Mus musculus: one gene and its partners. The protein of the gene in region 1 interacts with the protein of each later gene in a biochemical or structural test. Links are inferred from orthologs where the notes say so. Each region holds a gene or a part of one and is shown in the gene's direction. Other genes may lie near its edges. The genes, in order: Myog, Srf and Csrp3.

Region 1 (7,814 bases):
GGCATCTGCTGCCAATTTGAACTATGAGTTTTTTCCCAGTCAAATTCACCCTCCCACCCGTAAGCCGATGGTTCATGCCTTTATCATCTCACTCCTGGATTACTGTCAAGCGGGGTTGGATGGGGTGGGGTAATGAGGTTTTCTTGCTTCAGTTCTGAAGTCTCTTCATACCCAGTCGAGCCTCTTACCCTCATAGACTCGTTTTCAGTCGTCACCACCCTGAGATCCACACACTCTGATCACCCACACACCTTCCTCTTCTCACCTCTTCATGGCCTCATTCTGCTGATTCCCCAAGACCTGGTCCAGGACTTGACTCCTCCGCAGCCCTCCTCGGAGGCTTAGCCTCCAGTGACTTTGCCATTGGTTTGCAAGTGATCCTCGTCCCTGTTAGGTTTTGTTTTTTTTATTTTGTCTGAGACAGAGTCTCGCAACTAGCCCAGACTAGCCTGGAACTGGCAATCCTCCTGCCTTGGCCCTTCCAAGTACGGAATTAAAGGTATGTGCCACCATGCCCACCCAGCTTTCTGCCACCTCATTGGCTACAACATTAACAGCTTTGCAATGGGGCATTCGCTGCTAAGGGTCCAGGCTCTTGTACCAGGCAGCAGGAACCTGCAAGGCATCAAAGAATAAGTCCTTTCTGCTCCCACTTCAAAAGAACACAGATTGTTTAGGGTAAGTGGGATTGAGTCCCCCAAGGACAAAAGATACAATTTGGCAGTTTCCACAGCAGGTATGACATCCCTCTCTTTTTAGGGCTCACAGGGCTGGAGTATAACCTGAAGCAAGGTAAATTTTTGTTTGTTTGCTTCTTCACTTTGAGGAGGTGGAAAGTGTGTTGAACGTTTAGAACCCACAATAATGTGCTGCACTTTGTATCCCCAAGTAAAGTCAAGAACTGACTTAAGGCCTCAGTGTGTCCCAATTTGCTTGGGGCTCTTTTATTGCTCAGTATGTCCCCCCTCACACACCTGTTTCCTCCTTTAAAAGACAGCACTTTCTTGGCTCTTCTCTGTGGCTTAAGAGAAGAGAGAAGGCCGGTCCTTCAAACCCCATACAGCTCTCACGGCTGCTATGAAAGGAGCCCTCCCTGAGCCCCCCACCCCACCCCACTCCATCCCCCACAGACAACTCCACCCTTCTCCTAGTGTCCTGACTGGTAGTTAGGATGTAGCCATCTCCTCCTGCATTGGAGCAGGGATAGCAGGACAGATCACACCTAGTCTGCGGGGTCCTGGGGAAAAGTCTGAGCCATAGGTGAAAGTTTGTGGCTCCAAATCCAGAATTCCTGAAGCTTCAGGTCACATGACAGCCACAGGCAAAGAGATTTGGGAATCAGAGGCTGGGTGAAAGGTGGCCAGAGGCCTGCACACTGCTCTTTAGAACTGGTCCTCCCTGGCTACCAATGCCTCTCCTGAGGTATCTTCTGGCTGACAGAGGCCAAGATTCAATGGGAATGGCCCCTCCCCCACCTGACATTCTAGAGTTGTATGACGCAGGCAAAGGTGATGACTCAGGCAGGAAGGAATAGAAGAGGCCAGCCTGGTGGCCCAGGACAGACAAATGATGCAAAGGACTCTTTCTCCTTATCGACCCTTCTACAGAAAGGAAAGAGTCAAAACGGTTCTAGTGCCAGAAGGCATTATTGAGGGGAAAGCACAGAAGAGATGATTAAGAGCATCAGACAGGGTCCATCCCATAATCAGCCACCAAACACAGACACTATTACATATGCCAGCAAGATTTTGCTGAAAGAACCCTGATATAGCTGCCTCTTGTGAGGCTATGCCAGTGCCTGGCAAATACAGAAGTGGATGCTCACAGTCAGCTATTGGATGGAACACAGGGCCCCCAATGGAGGAGCTAGAGAAAGTACCCAAGGAACTGAAGGGGTCTGCAACCCTATAGGTGGAACAACAATATGAACTAACCAGTACCCCCAGAGCTCATGTCTCTAGCTGCATATGTAGCAGAAGATGGCCTAGTCGGCCATCATTGGGAAGAGAGGCCCCTTGGTATTGCAAACTATATGCCCCAGTACAGGGGAACGCCAGGGCCAAGAAGTGGGAATGAGTGGGTAGGGGAGCAGGGCGGGGGGAGGGGGGGTATAGGGAACTTTTGGGATAGCATTTGAAATGTAAATGAAGAAAATATCTAATAAAAAATAATTTAAAAAAGAGCGTCAGACAGGGGACTGAACAGCTCTTGACTAGGGGAGAAGAAGGCAATGTAGAGTAGTCTGTGAGTTCTAATCCTTGCTAAACACTGACTTCACCTGACCCCTACTACTTAAGGCCCCCCCCCTTACTTAAGAAGTCCCTGTGTTCTCTTACTTCAATCTACCCCCAACATCATGAGACCTGGTCAAAGAAGCTGTAGAAACCCAAAAGTTGAATCCATTTGCCCTTCTGGGTTTCTGTCTTTGCCTCCATGGACGATAGGGACACACACACACACACACACACACACACACACACACACACGCCCCAAATCTGGAGTGGTCCTGATGTGGTAGTGGTAGGTCTTTAGGGGTCTCATGGGACTGACATAGTATGGTTTAAGGTGCTGCTGAGCAGGAAAGAGAAGGCTAAGTGGATTTTCAAGACCCCTTCCCGTCCGTCCAAGACAACCCCTTTCTTGTTCCCTTCCTGCCCTGTCCACCAGCTGCCTTGGACCATGGAGGAGAGAGTAGGCAGGAGGCCCGGGTAGGAGTAATTGAAAGGAGCAGATGAGACGGGGGAATGCACCCACCCCCACCTTCCCTGCCCCACAGGGGCTGTGGAGAAATGAAAACTAATCAAATTACAGCCGACGGCCTCCCGACCCGTGCACAGGAGCCGCCTGGGCCAGGGGCAGGCCTGCAGGGTGGGGTGGGGGCAAAAGGAGAGGGAAGGGGAATCACATGTAATCCACTGGAAACGTCTTGATGTGCAGCAACAGCTTAGAGGGGGGCTCAGGTTTCTGTGGCGTTGGCTATATTTATCTCTGGGTTCATGCCAGCAGGGAGGGTTTAAATGGCACCCAGCAGTTGGTGTGAGGGGCTGCGGGAGCTTGGGGGCCAGTGGCAGGAACAAGCCTTTTCCGACCTGATGGAGCTGTATGAGACATCCCCCTATTTCTACCAGGAGCCCCACTTCTATGATGGGGAAAACTACCTTCCTGTCCACCTTCAGGGCTTCGAGCCCCCGGGCTATGAGCGGACTGAGCTCAGCTTAAGCCCGGAAGCCCGAGGGCCCCTGGAAGAAAAGGGACTGGGGACCCCTGAGCATTGTCCAGGCCAGTGCCTGCCGTGGGCATGTAAGGTGTGTAAGAGGAAGTCTGTGTCGGTGGACCGGAGGAGGGCAGCCACACTGAGGGAGAAGCGCAGGCTCAAGAAAGTGAATGAGGCCTTCGAGGCCCTGAAGAGGAGCACCCTGCTCAACCCCAACCAGCGGCTGCCTAAAGTGGAGATCCTGCGCAGCGCCATCCAGTACATTGAGCGCCTACAGGCCTTGCTCAGCTCCCTCAACCAGGAGGAGCGCGATCTCCGCTACAGAGGCGGGGGCGGGCCCCAGCCCATGGTAAGTGGCTAGTACACCAGATCCAGGGATAGGGCCAGAGGGAGGTGCCTGGTCAGCCCCGGGCCACCAGAGCTAGAACAGGTGCAAAGCAGGGCCCTTGGGATCCCTGGACCCCTTTCCTTGTCGGCTAGACTGTCCAGTGGCCTTCTGGGCTCATACTGTTTCCAAAATACAGATGGGGTAGGGTGGACTGGCACAGGAGAACAGAAGGGGCCCGGAAACAAGCCTGCAGTAAGGGCTTTGGTGAGCCTAGGTGAAAATGAGGGAAAAGTGGCCTAAGAAACCTGCTTTGTCCCAAGTCCACAGCCTTCATTTTTGACCTGACGAAACACATTAGAATGCCCACAGGCCTGCTCAGGAGCCACCGTAACAAAATACTGTGGTTTATCACCCTCACCGCCGAAATGAAAGCAAAGTTCTCATCCTAGAAGCTAGGAAAGACCTAGAAGTAGGATGTCTATGGTAACATTCTAGGGTAGGCAACTGACCCTGTAACCCAGGCAGAGAGAAATACCTGAGACTGGCAGTAGACTTGACCTTGGACCTTGGCCTTGTCTTGCATGCAGGTGCCCAGTGAATGCAACTCCCACAGCGCCTCCTGCAGTCCGGAGTGGGGCAATGCACTGGAGTTCGGTCCCAACCCAGGAGGTAAGTGAATCCTGACCCTGGTAACATGGCTCAAATCCCTTAGTCCCTACCTAGGCTGGGCTTGTACCCTTACCATAAGCCCTGTCCCAATCACCCTTCAGCAGCTTTTCTAGGAACTTGCTGACCTGAGGGCCCCAAATGGTGGGCTGGAGACCCTGTGCCTCCCGGTAGCCTTGACCAGCTAAAGAGTAGTCAGAGCCTCCAGCAACTTCCCTGCTGGTCTCTGACCTCAGAGAGAAGAGCCTGCTCCTGCCCCAGGGGTCCCTGGGGATCACTCAGTCAGTGTTGTAAAACTGTGCCCTGTGCCCTAGGATATCCTGGCTTCACCTAGGGATAGCCACTTTTAAAACCCCACAAGCACACACACAGCATGGGGAGTACTAGTGTCCTGGGGGCGGGGAACACTCCTGAGTCTTCCTTACCCATTTTGTCCTGGAAAATCTGTGTCAAGGGTCCCATACCAGTTGCCCAGGAAACATTCTCCCACTTTTTCTTGCAGATCATTTGCTCGCGGCTGACCCTACAGACGCCCACAATCTGCACTCCCTTACGTCCATCGTGGACAGCATCACGGTGGAGGATATGTCTGTTGCCTTCCCAGACGAAACCATGCCCAACTGAGATTGTCTGTCAGGCTGGGTGTGCATGTGAGCCCCCAAGTTGGTGTCAAAAGCCATCACTTCTGTAGCAGGGGGCTTTTAAGTGGGGCTGTCCTGATGTCCAGAAAACAGCCCTGGGCTGCCACAAGCCAGACTCCCCACTCCCCATTCACATAAGGCTAACACCCAGCCCAGCGAGGGAATTTAGCTGACTCCTTAAAGCAGAGAGCATCCTCTTCTGAGGAGAGAAAGATGGAGTCCAGAGAGCCCCCTTGTTAATGTCCCTCAGTGGGGCAAACTCAGGAGCTTCTTTTTTGTTTATCATAATATGCCTCGAATTCCACCCCCCACCCCCAAAATGAAACCGTTTGAGAGACATGAGTGCCCTGACCTGGACAAGTGTGCACATCTGTTCTAGTCTCTTCCTGAAGCCAGTGGCTGGGCTGGGCCTGCCCTGAGTTGAGAGAGAAGGGGGAGGAGCTATCCGGTTCCAAAGCCTCTGGGGGCCAAGCATTTGCAGTGGATCTTGGGAACCTTCCAGTGCTTTGTGTATTGTTTATTGTTTTGTGTGTTGTTTGTAAAGCTGCCGTCTGACCAAGGTCTCCTGTGCTGATGATACCGGGAACAGGCAGGGAAGGGGGTGGGGGCTCTTGGGGTGACTTCTTTTGTTAACTAAGCATTGTGTGGTTTTGCCAATTTTTTTTCTTTTGTAATTCTTTTGCTAACTTATTTGGATTTCCTTTTTTAAAAAATGAATAAAGACTGGTTGCTATCAGAGCATCTGCAATGATATTATCAAGAGGGGAGCCACCAAAACTCTGCACCTTTCCCTTGGAGGTCCAAATGGGAGTGGGGGGGTGTGGATCATGTGAGTGGAGCTGGAGTCCTGAGCTGGTTGTTAGACGCAGGAGCCAAGTGCCGCACAGCTTGGGGGAAAGACCGGATTCCTTAGAAACCCTGGGCCCACAGAGGCAGGCCTGTAAAATACTCTGTTTGTTGTACTTTCAGTCAGACGTCATTCACAGTTCCAATTCACAGCCCAATAGGTCCACTGCGCATGCTCACGTGCCTTGTGCCCAGCCCACACCTAGGGCTAGGGGTAAAGAGCTGGGTTTTCAGGACGTTTCTTCTTCAGCTCCATCTCTCCCCTGGATCCATTGGTCACCTTAAGCTCCACGGAGAAGTAGGAAGTGACTATACAGAACAAATGGGGTCAGACGCTGTCATTTCTTCAAAGGAAAAACAGCATATCCCCTGACCACCTTCTGCCCTTCCCTGCAGGCACAGGGATATTCCTGTCCCCAACTACAGCTCAAAGATGAGGAGATTCTGCTAAGGGAGCCAGAGACAAAGAATAATCAGAGGAGAAGCCAGGGTTCTCCTCATTTGAGATTTTTTTTTTTCCAAAGACTGGCTTCCTAAGGGGAGAAGGTGGGTGGGAAATTGAAAGCAAAGTGCACAGGTAGAGATTGTGTAAGGATTAACACGGGGTCTAAAAGAACTATAATCGGGAACAGGCCAAAAACACCTACTTCAAATTTGCTATTGGGTCGTACTGCTTGTCTGGTTTCCTGGAGATTATTTCCAAACCATTGCAGACAGGGATTCAGTATATGGTGCATCCTGGGTCCCCTTCAGTCCTCTCAGGTCCTTTGTCAACCAACCTGAACCAGTTTAAGAGAGCAGGCATTGATGGCCATTCTGCGCTTGCTCAAGCTCAGCTGGGCCCCTCCCCACAACTAACCTCCCTAAAGAAGATAGTATGAGAAAGGCTTGGTGGAGCCTCGGGAACTTGAGGAGGTAAGAAGCTACAGAGGGTAGGTCTCATCAAGGTCGTGATTATCGTGAATAAACGATCATGCATCCTGGTTTGTGGGATTTTTCTTCCTTATGAGTTTGTGTCATTGGATTTACAGTCTTTCAGATAGCCTGAAGAGGAATATTTAAGTCTAGCTTTGAGCTTCTGACAGTGGGGCAAAGTAAGTGTCTGCATTACCAATTCCTACCTCTGGTCTAGTGTTCTCCCTTAGGCCCACCAAAATACCCAACTGTGCAAAAAATAGAACTCTTCTCAGATTTGTGCCCTCTGCCCCAGTGCCTCCCAGTGTTCTTGAGTGGATTGTCCCCGACTGCCTTCAGTTGTGACATGTCTGTCCCTTGTCCTCCTAGGCCCCTCCAAGGGTCTAGTGCTAGCCAAGAACAAGGGTCCTCCGTGAATACCCTGCAGCTCATGGGCTCCAGTTGCTGGAAAATTGTGTTAAAGCCCATTCTTTTCACACTTGAAAAAGAGAACAAAGGTCACTGGAGTCAAGTGACCCTTGTGTAACCACAGCTTGAAAGTCCTCAAGCTATAATATGCCAGCACAGCTCAGATGTGGATGATAACCCTGCTTTCTAGGAGTCCAGAATATTTTCATATAATAAATGTTATTAAGCATAAAGGTTTCCTTAAATTAACAAACTCTCAGCCTTCACAATTGAATTACAGGTAACAGTCAGGTTAATGAATAACGAGATGGAGTTCTTTAGGGAAATTAAATTATGTCATCTGTGGAAGTAACTACAATAAATCAAACTGGGCTATTTTGCAATAGCAGCAGCAACAGGAAAGTTGTGGTGGTTTGAATGTTTGGTCCAGGGAGTGTCAGTGTTTGGAGGTGTGGCCTTGTTGGAGTAGCTGTGGCCTTGTCCACTTGTTGTGGACAGTAAGTGTGTCACTGTGGGGGTAGACTTTGAGAGCTTCCTCCTAGCTGCCTGAAGATGCCAGTCTTTTCCTAGCAGCCTTCAGATGAAGAGGTAGAACTCTCAGTTCCTCCAGCACCATGCCTGCCTGGACGCTGCCATGCTCCCACCTTGATGATAATGGACTAAACCTCTGAACCTGTAAGTCAGTCCCAATTAAATGTTGTCCTTATAAAAGGACACTGTGTCCACTCACAGCAGTACAAACCTAACCAGACACAAGTATCTGCTTTTATTAATATTCATCAACAAATTCTCCAGG
Region 2 (6,970 bases), on another chromosome or scaffold:
GCGTCTCCCTCTCGTGACAGCAGCACAGACCTCACGCAGACCTCCTCCAGCGGGACAGGTATAACTCTTTGCCACTCTCCTCCCCAGCCCCCAGTGCCCTGCCTTCCCACAGGAAGCCTAGAAGTAGGGACTTAGCGGCATGTCTCTCCCATGCTCAGGACCGCAGGGAATTCACTAAGTAGAGCCTGGACTTTTTCTCTCATCCTTAGAAGAGACCTAGGTAAGCACGCTAAGGTTTGAGCCCTGCTCTGCAGTGGGGAATCAAGAGATAAGGAACCATTGAAAAATAACCTGCTCAGTAACCAGGGAGGCCCGAGAGCAGTTGTCACCGATGAGACACTCTAGGTCTCCCTGTAGGTCTCTAGTTCCTCTCTGCCGCTGTTGGTCTTTTCAAGAATTAGAGTGAACTCTCACGTGTAAGTTATTGTCATTCCCGCCTTATTTATTACACATTAGCTGAATCCCTTCTGCTCTAGGACTGGAGGGCCTGGGAATCGGGGGACAAGCAAGAGTCTCAAGTGAGTCAGAGTCTGCGCATTAGTAAGCTCCTACAGTAACATCTGAGATGTGCTTGTCTGGAGGACGAACCTCTTAGGTGTAAGTTGAGGAAGAGTGAGGAGGATACGCGCAATGGAGTTCCCTAAGAAACTGCCTTGACTTTCCTGGGAGGAGGTCATGGTTGCGATCGTAGGGTCTGGGAACAGAGACTTTGATGGACGCACAATCCCACCGTAGAACAGTGGGCTGTTGAGCTCAGAGGAAAAAGCTAGACTTTATTGTTGTTGACAGGAAGCAAAGAAACAAGCTTTTGAAAAACTCGAGCCATAGGACATGGTACAAAGACCCTGAAGGTTGGAACCCTGGGGCAGGATGAGAGATAGCAGGAGGGATCAGCTCCCTGATGTGTGTCTGTGTTTTCCAGTGACGTTGCCCGCCACCATCATGACGTCGTCTGTACCCACAACTGTGGGTGGCCACATGATGTACCCTAGTCCCCATGCAGTGATGTATGCCCCCACCTCAGGCCTGGCTGATGGCAGCCTCACCGTGCTCAATGCCTTCTCTCAGGCACCATCCACCATGCAGGTGTCCCACAGCCAGGTCCAGGAGCCAGGTGAGGGAAGGGCAGGGCTGAAGCAAGAAGGACCATTTATCTCTCCCTTCCACAGGCTCCAGCGCCAACATGCACCCTCACTCCACCCCCTCTCCCAATGCCCACACATACTCCTGCACAATTGCAAGGATCTCACACTCAGTGGACACTCTTGCGCATGTAAACCCTCACACCACAGGCACCCTCATGCTGTGCGTGAGACGGACGCTATGGGCACACACCCTTGGGCACGTGTCTGAGGCTTCCCAGACACTTGTGAATATCATGCTCCTCCAGTATCTAGGGCTCCTCTTGAGCAAGTTAGTGAGTATCTCCCATGCTTTCCGATGCAGGTGGTGTCCCTCAGGTGTTCCTGACAGCACCGTCTGGGACCGTGCAGATCCCTGTCTCTGCAGTTCAGCTTCACCAGGTAAGGTGGACTCTGACCTGGCCCACTCAGCCAGTCTCCCCTGGGCAAGTACTAGAACGGCAGGCCAGCAGGAGGCGCCCGAGCTCAGCCTGCTGGTCGGTCTCTCCCTCCTGTCCTCACACACCTCCCTCCTTTTTTTTTTTTTTTTTTTTTTTTTTTTTTTTTTAATGAAGACTTTTAATTTTATTATTTAACATAATTTAAGACTTTTTTTCGTATTTTTCCTTACCCATCTTTACACACCTCCCTCCTTACAGATGGCTGTGATAGGGCAGCAAGCTGGGAGCAGCAGCAACCTCACCGAGCTACAGGTGGTGAACCTGGATGCCACCCACAGCACCAAGAGTGAATGATCCGCCCGTCACCCTGGACAGACGGCCCAAGGGACGGCACCACTTATTTATTGTTGCCTTTTCACGGTTTCTTTACACACACACTGACTGGCCGAAGGAGGGAGGCGGGGAGAAGGAGCGGGCAGCCACAGGACTATGCCCTCTCACTCCAGCCAAAGAAACGGGCCTGCCTGCCCTCCCCAGCTGCCCTCCTTCCTGCTCTGCCTGTCATGCTGTTGATGGTGCAGCTCTCCTCCCTCCTCAGACCCCCTGCCAGCCTGGCTCAATTTGCTATGAGTATTAGCTGACCCGATGGGACTGTGCCACCTTCCCACTCACAGGCCTTCTGTGGGACTGGGCACAGTGTTCCCGTCCGAGGAAACATTTGGGGCCCTCTCTCCAGCCTCTTTGGCGACCTCTGGTTAGCTTTGTGTCTGCCATGGTCTGGGTCAAAAGAGCCCGGCCCCTGCCCCTCAGGGAGCCAGCTGGGAGAGATATGGGGGCTTGTGCCCTCAGCCGATGCCCTCTGCCCCTTTCAGCTCCTGAAGCAGCTGGGCCTGTGCACCGGGCAGGTTACTGGGGCCGCCTGCCCTGCCTTGCCTCTGTTCCCGCGGACCTGCAGGGGCTCCTGGGTTGGAGGGAACCACTGTTAGCGGTCTCTTCCTCCCCTTGGTCTTCCCCCTTCTCCCAGCTGCTTTACTTAAGAGTTGATTTTGAACTTTTTATTTGAGGAGATGACGTGAAAACAAATCTATAAATATATATTTTTAAAATATTTAACTTTTTTTTAATGGCGTTTTTCTCATCCCCCTCCCTGCCCAAACTCCTCTTGGGGAAGCTCTTGGGCTCCCTAGAACTGTCTGGGCCCCTGGGGACAGCCACCCCATGAGCTTGGGGTCCACCAGTGTGTGTGTGTGGGAGATTCTGGGATTGCTCCACATCCTGGGTTCTTTCCAGGAGAAAGGTGGGGGAGGGGCCCTCAGGCCAAGCCACAGAAGGGGGATGGGAGGTCCCGCAGTTCTAGGCCTCTTTTGCCCTCTAGGGTTGTTGCTAGGAAAAGGGAAGATGGAGACCAAATGTGGGGGTGGGGTGGGAGGGGTCAGGGAGAGGAGATTGATGTCCTTTGTGCCACAGTATGGTCGTTGCAGCCTGTGCTCCCCCAGGCTTGCAGATACCTGGGGCCCAAGGTGCAGTGGGCAGGATGGAGTTCGGGAGGTAGGGAGATACAGGAATGGGGGTCAGAGGTAAAAGCTCTTGGGCTGAGTGCAGCAATGGGGGGCCAGAGGTGGGCAGCTCTCCCAGGGAGTGAGCAGCTACTGTAACTTTTTTAAATTAAGACAAAAAGCCTTGAAGAAAATGACTTTATTTTTCTAAGTGTAACCTCAGTATTTATGTAATTTGTACAGGGCCATGCCCCATCCCTTAAAATCCCTTTGGGGACCTTGAGGGTGGGCTAGCATAGGGGAGGGTGTTTTACCCTGTGTCAGAGCCAGCCTAAACCACCTGTATCCATTAAAGGAGCTTTTTCCGGGAGGGCAGTTGGGGTAGGGTGTCACTAAACCCTTGTTGCTGCCTTCAGTAGGAACAAGCCTACTTCTGCGGTTAGGTGGAGGGGTTGGGAAGGTTTTATGCACAGCCTACGTTTCATGGGGATGATCTGCTGACGTTTAAGAGCCCCCTGAACCTCTAATCCCCATTACTGTCTTCCCCAGCTGGGATGCCACCTTTCTGGCCTTTCTCCTGGAAATAGCTGGGGCGTTTGGGTGGCTTTCAAGACTGGGGCATGGTAAACCAGGGGTCAGAGTTGGGGAGCTTGGGACTCAGGTCTGTAACTGCCCAGCCCCCTTCTCTGCTCCTGTTTCACTCCTCTGCCGCCCACTCATGGCCCCTCCCCCAACACCGGAGGTGTTGATTCCTCCTCACAAAAGATAGAGCCTGGGCAAGTGATTCAGGCCAAGTGCTTACCAACGTGTGCTGTGTGATTGTGGCCTTGGGAGAACCTGTTTGTCAGGCAGGACTGAGGTGGCATTTCTATGTGCAGCAACCCTTGGTGTATCCCTAATTAAGTGGCTCTAGGGGTGTGTGCGCGCGCCTGTGTCCGAGTGAATACGTGTGTGAATGTGGAGTGCGTGTGGTATATCCGTGGTTTCTACTTCTCCTGGGATGTTGACCCAGGAATAGTGGACATGGTCACATCTTCTGTACAGAGCTTTCTTTTGTATTAAAAAAATACTCTTTCAATAAATGTATCATTTTTGTGCACAGACTGGGGTCTTTGGCTGTGTCTTTGGGATCTTTTTAGCATCGGGAGGGAGGAGGGAGCACAATCCCTTAAAGTCTGTCCCAAGCTGCGGTGTGCTTTGGACTGTTCAATCCTACATGATTGAAGAGATCTGGGCGAGGACTTAATGCATGGTTTTGCCAGCAGCTCAGGGAAGGTCAGGGGTTTTACTTAAAAGTCAAAGTGACCCAATGATCTAAAATACCGCAGGGTTTGGGCAGCGCTGGGAAACAACAACAACACACACACACAAGTCCGGTGATGGGAGTATGGGTTAACTAATGCGGAGATGATTGCTGTGGTGGGTGGGAGAGGAAGATGGACCCGGTGGAGCGCAGGATGCTTCACACCGGACTACCTGGGAAGGACACTGGTTGCTGACTCCCTCGGCTAATACGCATGCTCCACTCACGCGCCGCTTTGCCACGCTCGCAGTGGGCCACCGTAGGACCCGTAGTCGCCCGGGTCGTGCGTGCGCCCGGCGTGTGACCCGGAAAAGAGCTGTGGAGGAGGCGGGCCCAGTTGCGGGACCCGCTGCTGGGTGACAGCGAGGGTCCAGCCGGGAGGGCGGTGAGAGGTGAGAAGAAAGCTCTGCACCGAGCCATCCCTTCTTTTCCCAACCCCCTCCAAGTCCCTCATCCCTTCCTCCCGGACTAGAGGGAGAAGTCGGGGAAGCAGGTCCTGTCAGCTCGCGACCGCGCCCCGCCATGCTCACCCCGCGCCGCCCCGCTCCCCCAGGCCATTATTCCCCGCTTGGTGTTGAGCGGGCTCCTCCGCCACCTCTCTGGAGTCTAGCTTGGACGCGATCGTGCTGCTTTCTGTTCTCAGTCCCGGCAGTCAGGCGTCACCTTCACACCCCTATTTAGAGCTTCTGGTTTAGGCCCTCCCTATGCCATCCCCGCCCCCCAGGCCTAGAAGATGGTTTGGCTTGGCCCCATGTTTGTCAACAGCTATAAGAGCATCAATGGTTATCGCCTAGCCTTCCTTCCATGCTAAGTGAATCCCATCCACACAGAAGTTCACATCTTATATGACTCCTCCTTTCTTCTGCTTGCCTCCTGTCCGTGCACCCTGACATGACTCCTGCCTGGATAACTGGTTCTTTTATCCAGGTACACCTTCTATTTTACTCTCTCCATTGCACTGTTTCAAATCACACATACCTTTCCCTAGTCGTTTTATTTTCATTAATATTCTGCTTTAACAACCTTTCTTATCTGATGCCTGCAACCTACTGTCCCCATCTAAGAATAGATTATGCTGTAATACATTTTTTTTACTGAGCAGTTCTGTGCTAACGAATGTTCAGTTTGGTTTCTGTTTTAAAGATTCATTTATTTTATTTATATGAGTAACTGTCTTAAGACACACCAGAAGAAGGCATCGGATCCCATTACAGATGGTTGTGAGCCGCCATGTGGTTGTTGGCAATTGAACTCAGGACCTCTGGAAGAGCAGACAGTGCTCTTAACCACTGAACCATCTCTCCAGCCCTTAAAGACAATCTTACTGTGTAGTTTGGGCTTAGCCAGGAACTTTCTGTGTGTAGCCAAGCCTAACCTCGGAATTTGTGATTCTTTTGCCTCAGTCTCCTGAATATCAAGATTATAGGCACACCAGGCTTAAATTCATAGCCTTTTAGAAAGGAGATTTATGGACCTGGGGATGTAGCTCAGTTGGTGGAGTGTTTGCCTAGCACCCAGGAAGCCCTGGGTTCAATCCCCAGCACCCATATAATGCTGAAAACCATGTCTAACTCGACTTCCAGGGGATCTGATGCCTTCCCTGGCCTCCAAGGGCACCAGGCAAGTGCTGCACAGACAAATACACAAACAAAATTCATACACACAGATTTATTTATTTTATTTGCTTTTTTCGAGACAGGGTTGCTCTGTGTAGCCCTGGCTGTCCTGGAACTCACTCTGTAGACCAGGCTGGCCTCCAACTCAGAAATCCACCTGCCCCTGCCTCCCAAGTGCTGGGATTAAAGGCATGCGCCACCACTGCCCGGCCATATATTTTATTTTTAAATAAATTAAAAAGGATTTATTTTGTGTGCATGAGTGTTTTGCCTGTATGTATGTGCAGGGTGCCCTTGGAGGTCAGAAGAGGGTGTTGGACTCTTGGGATTGGAGTTACAGATGGTCTGGAGCTGCCATGTGGGTGCTAGGCACTGACCCTTGGTTATTTTGTAGAGCGGCAAATGCTCTTCACCCCTGCTCATCTCTTTAGTGCCCACCTCCCCTGCAGTGACATTTCTGAGAATTCTGGCATTTGGGTTTCTTTTAAAAACCAGAACTATATTATGAGAATGGGCTTTTGTTGTAGCCCCAGGTGTGGGCTGCGGGGCTGCTTCGGACTGTCTGCAGCTGCTGACTGTGACTTGACTCCGTGCTCTAGTAGAAGCCTGGCTCTGCCAGCTTCAGACAATTTCTGTGACTGTGTGCGGAGTGCATGAGTGCTAGGCTCCTGAAAGGCGTGTGGAGTGGTTGTTGGCCATTAAGAAGGTTGGTTGTGGTTTGTTAGTAGCCCGAGGTAAAAAAAGAAACAAAAGGAAAGAAATCAGACTCTAGGATCTCTTTCCTGTCTATCCTTGGTTTTCTCCTACCTAGTTAGTGTTAGGGGGTGAGAGCGGGGGGGGGGGGTCTCTGGATAAAGGGTAGGAAAAAGAAGAACCCACAAAGTAGCAAAGACCAGCTTACACACACACACACACACACACACACACAGTGCCAGGCCTCACACATCCTAATCAGGTACTTGGCTTTTGAGCTGGAGCCCAGCCCCCTTCCTTTCCTGAAATGCCTTCATCGCATCTCTTTGCTCCGTTCACA
Region 3 (7,512 bases), on another chromosome or scaffold:
ATGGTGTGGATTAATGGAGAGGTTCTACAGCAGAGCAGCCCAATAGAACTTCTATAGAAATGGGCCTTTCCCCTCTATGCTACCGTAGGCACCTGACGAATGACACACAAGGACTAAGAAATCTCACATCTTATTTAAATTTAAACCATTTCAATCTGAATAGCCAAATGTAGCTACTGGTTAGACTATGAGATTCCAGAAAGAAATTTAATATGAAAAAAACGTAAAAAAAATGTAGGGAATAGGGGAAAACAGAAAGTGTCCATCAGAAGGTAAGATATATAGAAAGTAGAAGTTTTGGATTGCTGGAGAAAGAGGGCCCAAGCACACAGAGGAGCCAAGTGCTGAGGGTGAGGGCTGTTCTGGGGACACTTCAAATGGAATCAGTAGAAATATAGGTGAGAAACTTTGACGATCACCATCATAGTGAGCAAGGAAACAGGTCAAGGGTCAGTGTGGCCCAAGTCTAAGGTGCCAGGAGCTAGAGAGATCCACAGAGAACTAGCGACCTTGAGAGGTGTTGGAAATTTCCACCCCATACCTAGATAAAACAGCACAGCACTGTTCAGCAGGATCCATCCCTGCCCCACTATTGAAGGGAAATTATTAGGAACCCTAAAGTGAATGCATGAAAGAAACAATAACCAAGGAAACAGAACAGAGAAAATAGACTTGTCCTCAGTGTCATTAACGTCTGTAGAGATTCAGGATGATATGCCAACCATAGAACAAGAATGGGCTGGCTAAAAAAAGAAAAAAAATTAGATGTGCTAACAATTATATAGAGCCAAGTGCAATCCCACAAACATTTTGAGTTCAAGACCCAGCTGGGTTATGCGGTGAGACAAAATTTTGAAAAACTTATAAATGGAATTATTATTATTATTTTAAGATTTTAATTTATTTATTTATTATATGTAAGTACGCTGTAGCTGTCTTCAGACACACCAGAAGAGGGAGTCAGATCTCATTACGGATGGTTGTGAGCCACCATGTGGTTGCTGGGATTTGAACTCAGGACCTTTGGAAGAGCAGTCGGGTACTCTTACCCACTGAGCCATCTCACCAGCCCCGGAATTATTTTTAAATTAGTAAATGAATAAGTGGCTGAATATACTTGGGTGTAATGAGAATTCATTCTTGGCCACTGGCTCTCAACCTTCCTAAGGTTTTATCCCTTCAGTACAGTTCCTCACGTTATGGTAACCACCAACCATAGAATTATTTTTGTTGCTACTTCATATCTGTAATTTTGCTACTGTTATTAATCAAAATGTAAATATCTTTGTGTTTTTTTGATGGACTCACGTGATCCCTGTGAAAGGGTCATTCAACTCAAAGGGGGTCAATATCCACAGGTTGAGAACCACTGTTCCAGTCAATGGTGAGCTAAGACATATTTGAATAAATACAAAAAGAAAATGTTCTAATTTCTAATAGTCATTAGAGGGAGGAATTAATTTAAAACATTAAAAATTTCCAAAGCTAAAAAGAAAAACCATGAATTTTCAGACTGAAATTACCCACTAGATTTCAAGTGGCATAAACTTTAAAAGACAAAAAAAAAAAAATCGTGAAATTTAAGAAGTCATAAAAGTTTCCAAAGGAAACAAGTTAATGAGGAACCCGAATAAACTGGCACCACCACCATTGGCCACTCCAACAGGGCTGGGCTATTACAGATGGTTCCCTCCCAGTTCTGACTAAAGGCCATTTGGAATATAGATTCTCAGATGTAAGCATGATAATCGCCCAAGTGCAGATTGAATTTGGTCCCTAAAAAAATACACATTTACATCCTTCCGACCTCAGTATCTCAGGATGTTGTGCTGTATTTGGAAACAGGAGCTTCAGAGAAAGAACTGGGTCATAGGAGTAGGCTCTTATCCAATATAACTGGTATCCTTATAAGAAAGCATGCGACTGACCACATATACACAGAAGGAAGATCACAGAAAGACATAAAAGAGAAGACTTGCCTACATGCCTGTGGTTTCAGAGAAGCCTGTCCTGGGAAACTTAGATTTGTCACAGCTGAGACCCTTTTGGCTATGTAAGAATTTGGTAAAGTCCATATAGAATAGACTCTCTTAATGAATTGACCCAGGACATTCTAATGCTCAGATTTTAAAATGTAACATTAAAAAGTTACATTTTTAATCTTGTTTTATTGACTTTATGTGTTGATGTCCCATTCAACATTAATTATGTTAAAAAATATTGGTGTCAAAAGCACACAAAATTTTGATGGGTTTTGTTTTATTTCAAAGTTTTTGATATGTTTGTTTGTTTTTTTTTGAGGCAGAGGCTGGCTTCGAACATGTTATATGGCTGAGAATGGTAACTTCTGATCATCTAGCTTTCACCTCAAGGACTGAACTATAACTCACTCTCTCTCTCTCTCTCTCTCTCTCTCTCTCTCTCTCTCTCTCTCTCTCTCTCTCTTTCTCTCAACTTTAAACACTGCCATCCTACAAGAATCCTTAAGATCCCCCGACCTTGCAGGGCAGTCATCTCTGCTTTATATCTCAGACGAATAAGCTATGCTGTTCCCCATGATAACACAGATGGAGCAGATTTCTTATAAAGCAATGCTATGCCCATCTTTGTGAAATTACCACAAGCCCTGGTCTAAACCATGAAATATTCCATTAATCAATATAGTGACTCAAAACTTGAGAGAAAACATTTCTTCATTAGATACACAGGCCTTTGATGATTAGCTGATGTCAGTCCCACCTCCCCACACGCCCTCCTTGAAGAGATTAGTTAAGTGTGCGCCAGGCCCCCATCACTCTTATTTTTAGCTCTGAGTTCTCACAGTGCAATGACCTGGGTCTTGGAATTCCAAAGGGCTCCCAGGCATGGCTCATGATCCATTTGCAGGTAGCCTGCACTGATTTCCAGAACAGGCAGGGCATGGGGGTGGGGGTGTGTGGAAGGGAGTGTTGCAAAAATGATTTTAAATATAAAACCCTTTGTACAAGTCGAAGTCTTCAGTCAGAAGCTGTACACTTCACAAATGCATCCCTTGGTGCCTTAGGCAAATGGCAATTAAAATAGAACCCAACTGATATTGTTCTCCGGGAGGCTCCCGGCTGGCATGGGGGGTGGGGTGGGGAACACAACTAAGGGCTTTGGTCACGGGCTATTTTTGGCAATTGTGTTACTCGTGTCTTATTCACCCCCTCTCCTCAGCCTCCCCACTGCCCTTCCCTCAGCGAGCCAAGACTGGTGACAGCCTCTATATATTTAAAGAGGACAAGAGTCCCCTTACTCAGTTGAGCCGGCAGAGACCACACAGGCAGGCAGGTAAGTAGACCACAACAGGCATTTGGGCGGGCTGGCTGACTGACTGGGTGACTGGATGGGACTTTACGGAGTCCTATACAGTGGAGGCATATTTTACAACCAAGTCTCAGCACCCACCCTGGCTACAGATGAGGAGGATCAAGTTTATATACTTGACCCATATACAGCTCTAGCATTAGTTTTGAACTTCCTAAAAGTATGATTGATATTGGGTGGCAGGACTTGGGGAGCATGTGTGAAGGTCTGCATTTGATTTCCTGGCACCCTAAAAACAAAGCAAAACAAAACAAAAAGTTGGGAGCAATGGGCATGGGATTAATCTGGGTCTAAAGTCATTGTCATAGTGGAATGGTCCCATCTTCTGAGGCAGATGACAGGAAAGCAGAGTAAGATGAAGTTCAGATGTACACCGCAGCCTCAGATCGGCCACAGAAGACACAAATGAGTAGCTCTAAGGAGGGGTCTTGCTCACTTTTCCTTCAAGGGTTTGATAGGAAAGTAGTGACATTATTTAAACTCCACATTGCTATATGGTTATGAGACAACTGTATAGTATATCAGATCTGTCAGATATCCGATAGCACAGAAGAGCACCTTTCCCACCTCAGTTCATGAAACGCTGCTGCTCACAAGGTGTGGGTGGATGAATGAGATCCCAGATTGGTTGTTTTAAAATAAACACACACCAAAGATGTTCAGCCACAGGCATGCTTTTAGCTGTCTAAAATTAATCAAAACTGGTCCTTAGAAAAGACATCATGATGCTGAAACCTCATTACAACCTCTTATTAAATGGGAAGATGAATTCCTTGCCCGTGATGAGAGGTGACTCCCAGTATTCTCTCCAGGTCTCAATCAAGGGTTTCTTTTCAATATCCAGTCAATGAGAACAAGACATGGTTTTAAGCAATGGCCTGGATGCTGTGCAGATCAAAGCTGCCACCTCTGACGTCTGTTCTGGCCCTTAGCCATGGTGGTGACCCCTCCATGGGGGAGCTGGGTAACCATTGGAGGGCGCTCGTCTAATTGTGGTGTGGTGCAACGCCAGTTAATAAGCAGTATGGACTGCCTCCTAGCTCAGGGCTAGAGCAGAGGGAGGCACAAGCCGCGAAGTAGAGTAGGGGAATGGGGGTAGTCTGCATACTCAGTTTCCTTTGAGGGCTGAGCATTAAGGGAAACAAGGTAAGAGGAGCATGCTATGCTGGCTTTTACAAAACAAAGACCAGGGCTATCTCATAGGAAGCAAGGCGATGGCCATCTGCATGAAATGACCACAGCCCTCTCCATTACAAAATGCTCCATCGTTCAACCAGTTCATTGCAGTGTGTGTAAAACTGTTTTATGTCCCAGAAAATGTGGAGAGTTTCCTGATTTGGCTTTGATTTATTTCTGAATAACCCTCTCCTTGGTGTTCAGTGTGAGGAGCTCCCACGGTTAAGAGGAGGTATAGCTGAGCCAGGGCTTAGTGTCTGCCTGGACATACAAAATATCTGTCAGAGGCAAGGGAGCTCAGCAGAGAGGCAGCCTGGGGGCAGAGGAGCAAGTGGCACCATGCAGCAGACAAACCAGAAGGACCTCACCCAGGAAATGGAAACAGAACTATGATAGATGCAGAACTGTGATAGATGCAAACTCTTTTTTTTTTCTTTCTTTTTGAGACTGGGTTTCTTTGTGTAGCCCTGGCTGTCCTGGAACTCACTTTGTAGACCAGGCTGGCCTCGAACCTAGAAATCCGCCTGCCTCTGCCTCCCAAGTGCTGGGATTAAAGGCGTGCGCCACCATCGCCTGGCTTAGATGCAAACTCTTAACTCTTGGGAACCATAGGAAGAAAAGCAAAGTAAACAAGAGTCAAAGGTTCAAATCATAACTGCGTATCTCTTAGCTTCCCAATTGTCACTTTCAGAACAGTAAAATAAAGGATGACCACCTATCTCCAGGGATTTGCGTGGGCTAAATAAGATCCAGGGAAGTACTTTATGAATTCAATATGGCTGCATGCATAAATGAAGCCTTTCAGAAAGGGTGCAGGGCCTTCTCTGCATTAGGATGGATGCCCTGTGAAGTACGAGATGATGACAAAGTCTGGCAGTCGGAGTGGCTAACAAGCTGGTCAGTGGTGAGAGGTGATTGATGTGTTTGTCAAGAGAATGGATACAGGCCTAGGAGTATCGTATACAGGAAATACAACTCCAGGCAGGCAGCCTTCCAAGCGCAAGCATGCTGCCCAGATGTCTGGGAATACTCACTGTATAGAGAGCTGGGAGTCAAGTCCAAAGAGAAATATGATTCCTGCCTAGGTGGAAACTGAGAGGTGCAGGGATTTTTCTAGGAGCTCTGAAGCTCAGGGCCTACGCAGAGCTCCACTAAGGTCATTGTTGGACACAGCGGCCAGCATCGACTGCTGCTTACCTGCTCTCATGCAAGTTCAGAGCATGTGGGGGCTTCCCTAGAGTCTCAGAAAGTCCTGGAAAAGCCATTCTGTAGGGGAAGAAACTAAAGTTCAAGGGACTGCTGCAATCACACAGGGTCACATGGCCCGAAAGCAGCAGAGCCAAGATGTGATCAGGGTACGGCGTGGTCTTTAAAGCACAAAGGTCAAAGCAGAACCAAGAACAGAAGTAAGCATACTACAGAGATAATTTCAGAGCAGGGTACTGCAATTGCGCATTATTGTCTCGCTAGTCACATGTCCTCCATGCCTGAGAGCCAACATTCATGGCTATTTCTAAGCACCAAGGGCTTCCAAGGCTTTATGAAAGGTGGTGGTGGAGAGACTTCATACATACACCTGGCTTATACGATCAGGAGGAAGCCACCCACTGCCCTCGACTCTTACTGTAGGAGCAAAATGGGTGAGCTTCTCCTCAGCCATAGGAACTCTCTACGGGCTTGCTTCCCTTCAAAGCCCCTGTGATTGGTAAGTCAAGCTCAGCGAGAGCTTCAGAGAGGCAGAGTGGGTCGGAGGCCAACTCAGTCAGTGATACAGGCAGCCTGAGATGCGAGCAGACACTCCCCTGGGCTGACACCCACACATGGGTGGCTGAGATTCTAAAAACTGGAGAAACAGTTGATTTGTGGTCTGAAATGAATACTCACAAAGAAGGGAAAAAAAGAGAGAGGTTTGCTTGTTTTACAAAAAGAGATTCAAACACTGCACAGCAAATCACATCAATCAACTATCGTGGTAATCTAAAGGCAGCAACAATCATTGGATCCTTGTGTGCACTAAGAGTGTATATGTAGTCACTGTTATTGCCTTCAGCATCCTGGGACAAACCTGCTCATTTTGACATCCATGGGGGCTGTGCTCAGGAGTCAGAGCCGTGTGCCCCAGATCAGACTGCTAATGTCCTGAATGGAGCTTTAGTTCTTTTAAAAGCCTGCGCCTTCTCACACTTCATTGTCTGCCTTGCTGAATTAAGAGAAGAGATGGCACTTAAGAGGGAACTCTGCTGAGCAGCGTTTCTGCAAAGAGAGGCTTCTATCATTCACAGTTCAGGTCCTTAAAATTGGTCTCAGGGCTTGAAGGATGCTTTGCTGTATTTTAGTTACATAGATGTCCATTCCCAAAGGAGATGAGAATCAACAATGAAAAGAGACTTCCAGCTTTAGAGGAGTCCTTCCGTGTTTGAACACCACTTATTCCTGGGTTGTCCCTTATGTTACCAAGTTGAAGCCCCCAAGACTCCTCTTATCAATGCTTTCTATGCCCCATAAAGAGATGATGGATCTATAAGACCTCAGTTCCCACCAGATGAGATGCTTGGTCACTGGAATTGCTCACCCATGTCTGTCTCCTGGAAGACATGTTATAGCAGAAGCTTGTATAAGGGTCAAGTTAATTAGCCTTTTAAATGTAGCTCTCCCATTTTTTGGTTGTGTGATCTTGGTCAAACTATCTATCTAGCTTTCTGTATAGTTTTCTCATTTCCAGCTTAGGAACAGCACAATTTACTGTGTTGGGCTGCTGTAAGTATCACCGATAATGTATGAAATGCATTGATGCAAGCATGAACAGTGATTGGCATCAGTATGGGAGCACAGGTCTGGAGTCAGAGAGTGGAGTTCCACTCTCTAGGACAGGGATGTTAATTCCCCAAGCGCACATTTCCCTACCTGAACAGTTGGTTTCAACAGCACCTGCCTGGAAGGGTTACTGGTCAGGTGTTACTGCAGTGTCTGCTCCAAGGCCAGTGCTCT

What was found.
Region 2: the proteins of Myog (region 1) and Srf form a complex in vitro, tested with the Homo sapiens proteins (2 studies listed by BioGRID and IntAct). The link is inferred for Mus musculus from reciprocal best matches to the Homo sapiens genes MYOG and SRF.
Region 3: the proteins of Myog (region 1) and Csrp3 form a complex in vitro, tested with the Homo sapiens proteins (2 studies listed by BioGRID and IntAct, with this or other methods). The link is inferred for Mus musculus from reciprocal best matches to the Homo sapiens genes MYOG and CSRP3.

The regions. Positions count from the first base shown.
Region 1 is NC_000067.6:134,286,964-134,294,777, forward strand, and holds Myog (myogenin), read left to right. Parts: upstream 1-3,040; 5' UTR 3,041-3,092; coding exon 3,093-3,563; intron 3,564-4,129; coding exon 4,130-4,211; intron 4,212-4,710; coding exon 4,711-4,832; 3' UTR 4,833-5,585; downstream 5,586-7,814. UniProt on the Homo sapiens protein: Acts as a transcriptional activator that promotes transcription of muscle-specific target genes and plays a role in muscle differentiation, cell cycle exit and muscle atrophy.
Region 2 is NC_000083.6:46,543,989-46,550,958, reverse strand, and holds the end of Srf (serum response factor), read left to right. Parts: coding exon 1-58; intron 59-922; coding exon 923-1,114; intron 1,115-1,446; coding exon 1,447-1,523; intron 1,524-1,780; coding exon 1,781-1,876; 3' UTR 1,877-4,120; downstream 4,121-6,970. Other genes in the region: Cul9 (cullin-9), read left to right, coding at 5,213-5,248. UniProt on the Homo sapiens protein: SRF is a transcription factor that binds to the serum response element (SRE), a short sequence of dyad symmetry located 300 bp to the 5' of the site of transcription initiation of some genes (such as FOS).
Region 3 is NC_000073.6:48,843,798-48,851,309, reverse strand, and holds the start of Csrp3 (cysteine and glycine-rich protein 3), read left to right. Parts: upstream 1-3,258; 5' UTR 3,259-3,312; intron 3,313-7,512. UniProt on the Homo sapiens protein: Positive regulator of myogenesis. Acts as a cofactor for myogenic bHLH transcription factors such as MYOD1, and probably MYOG and MYF6.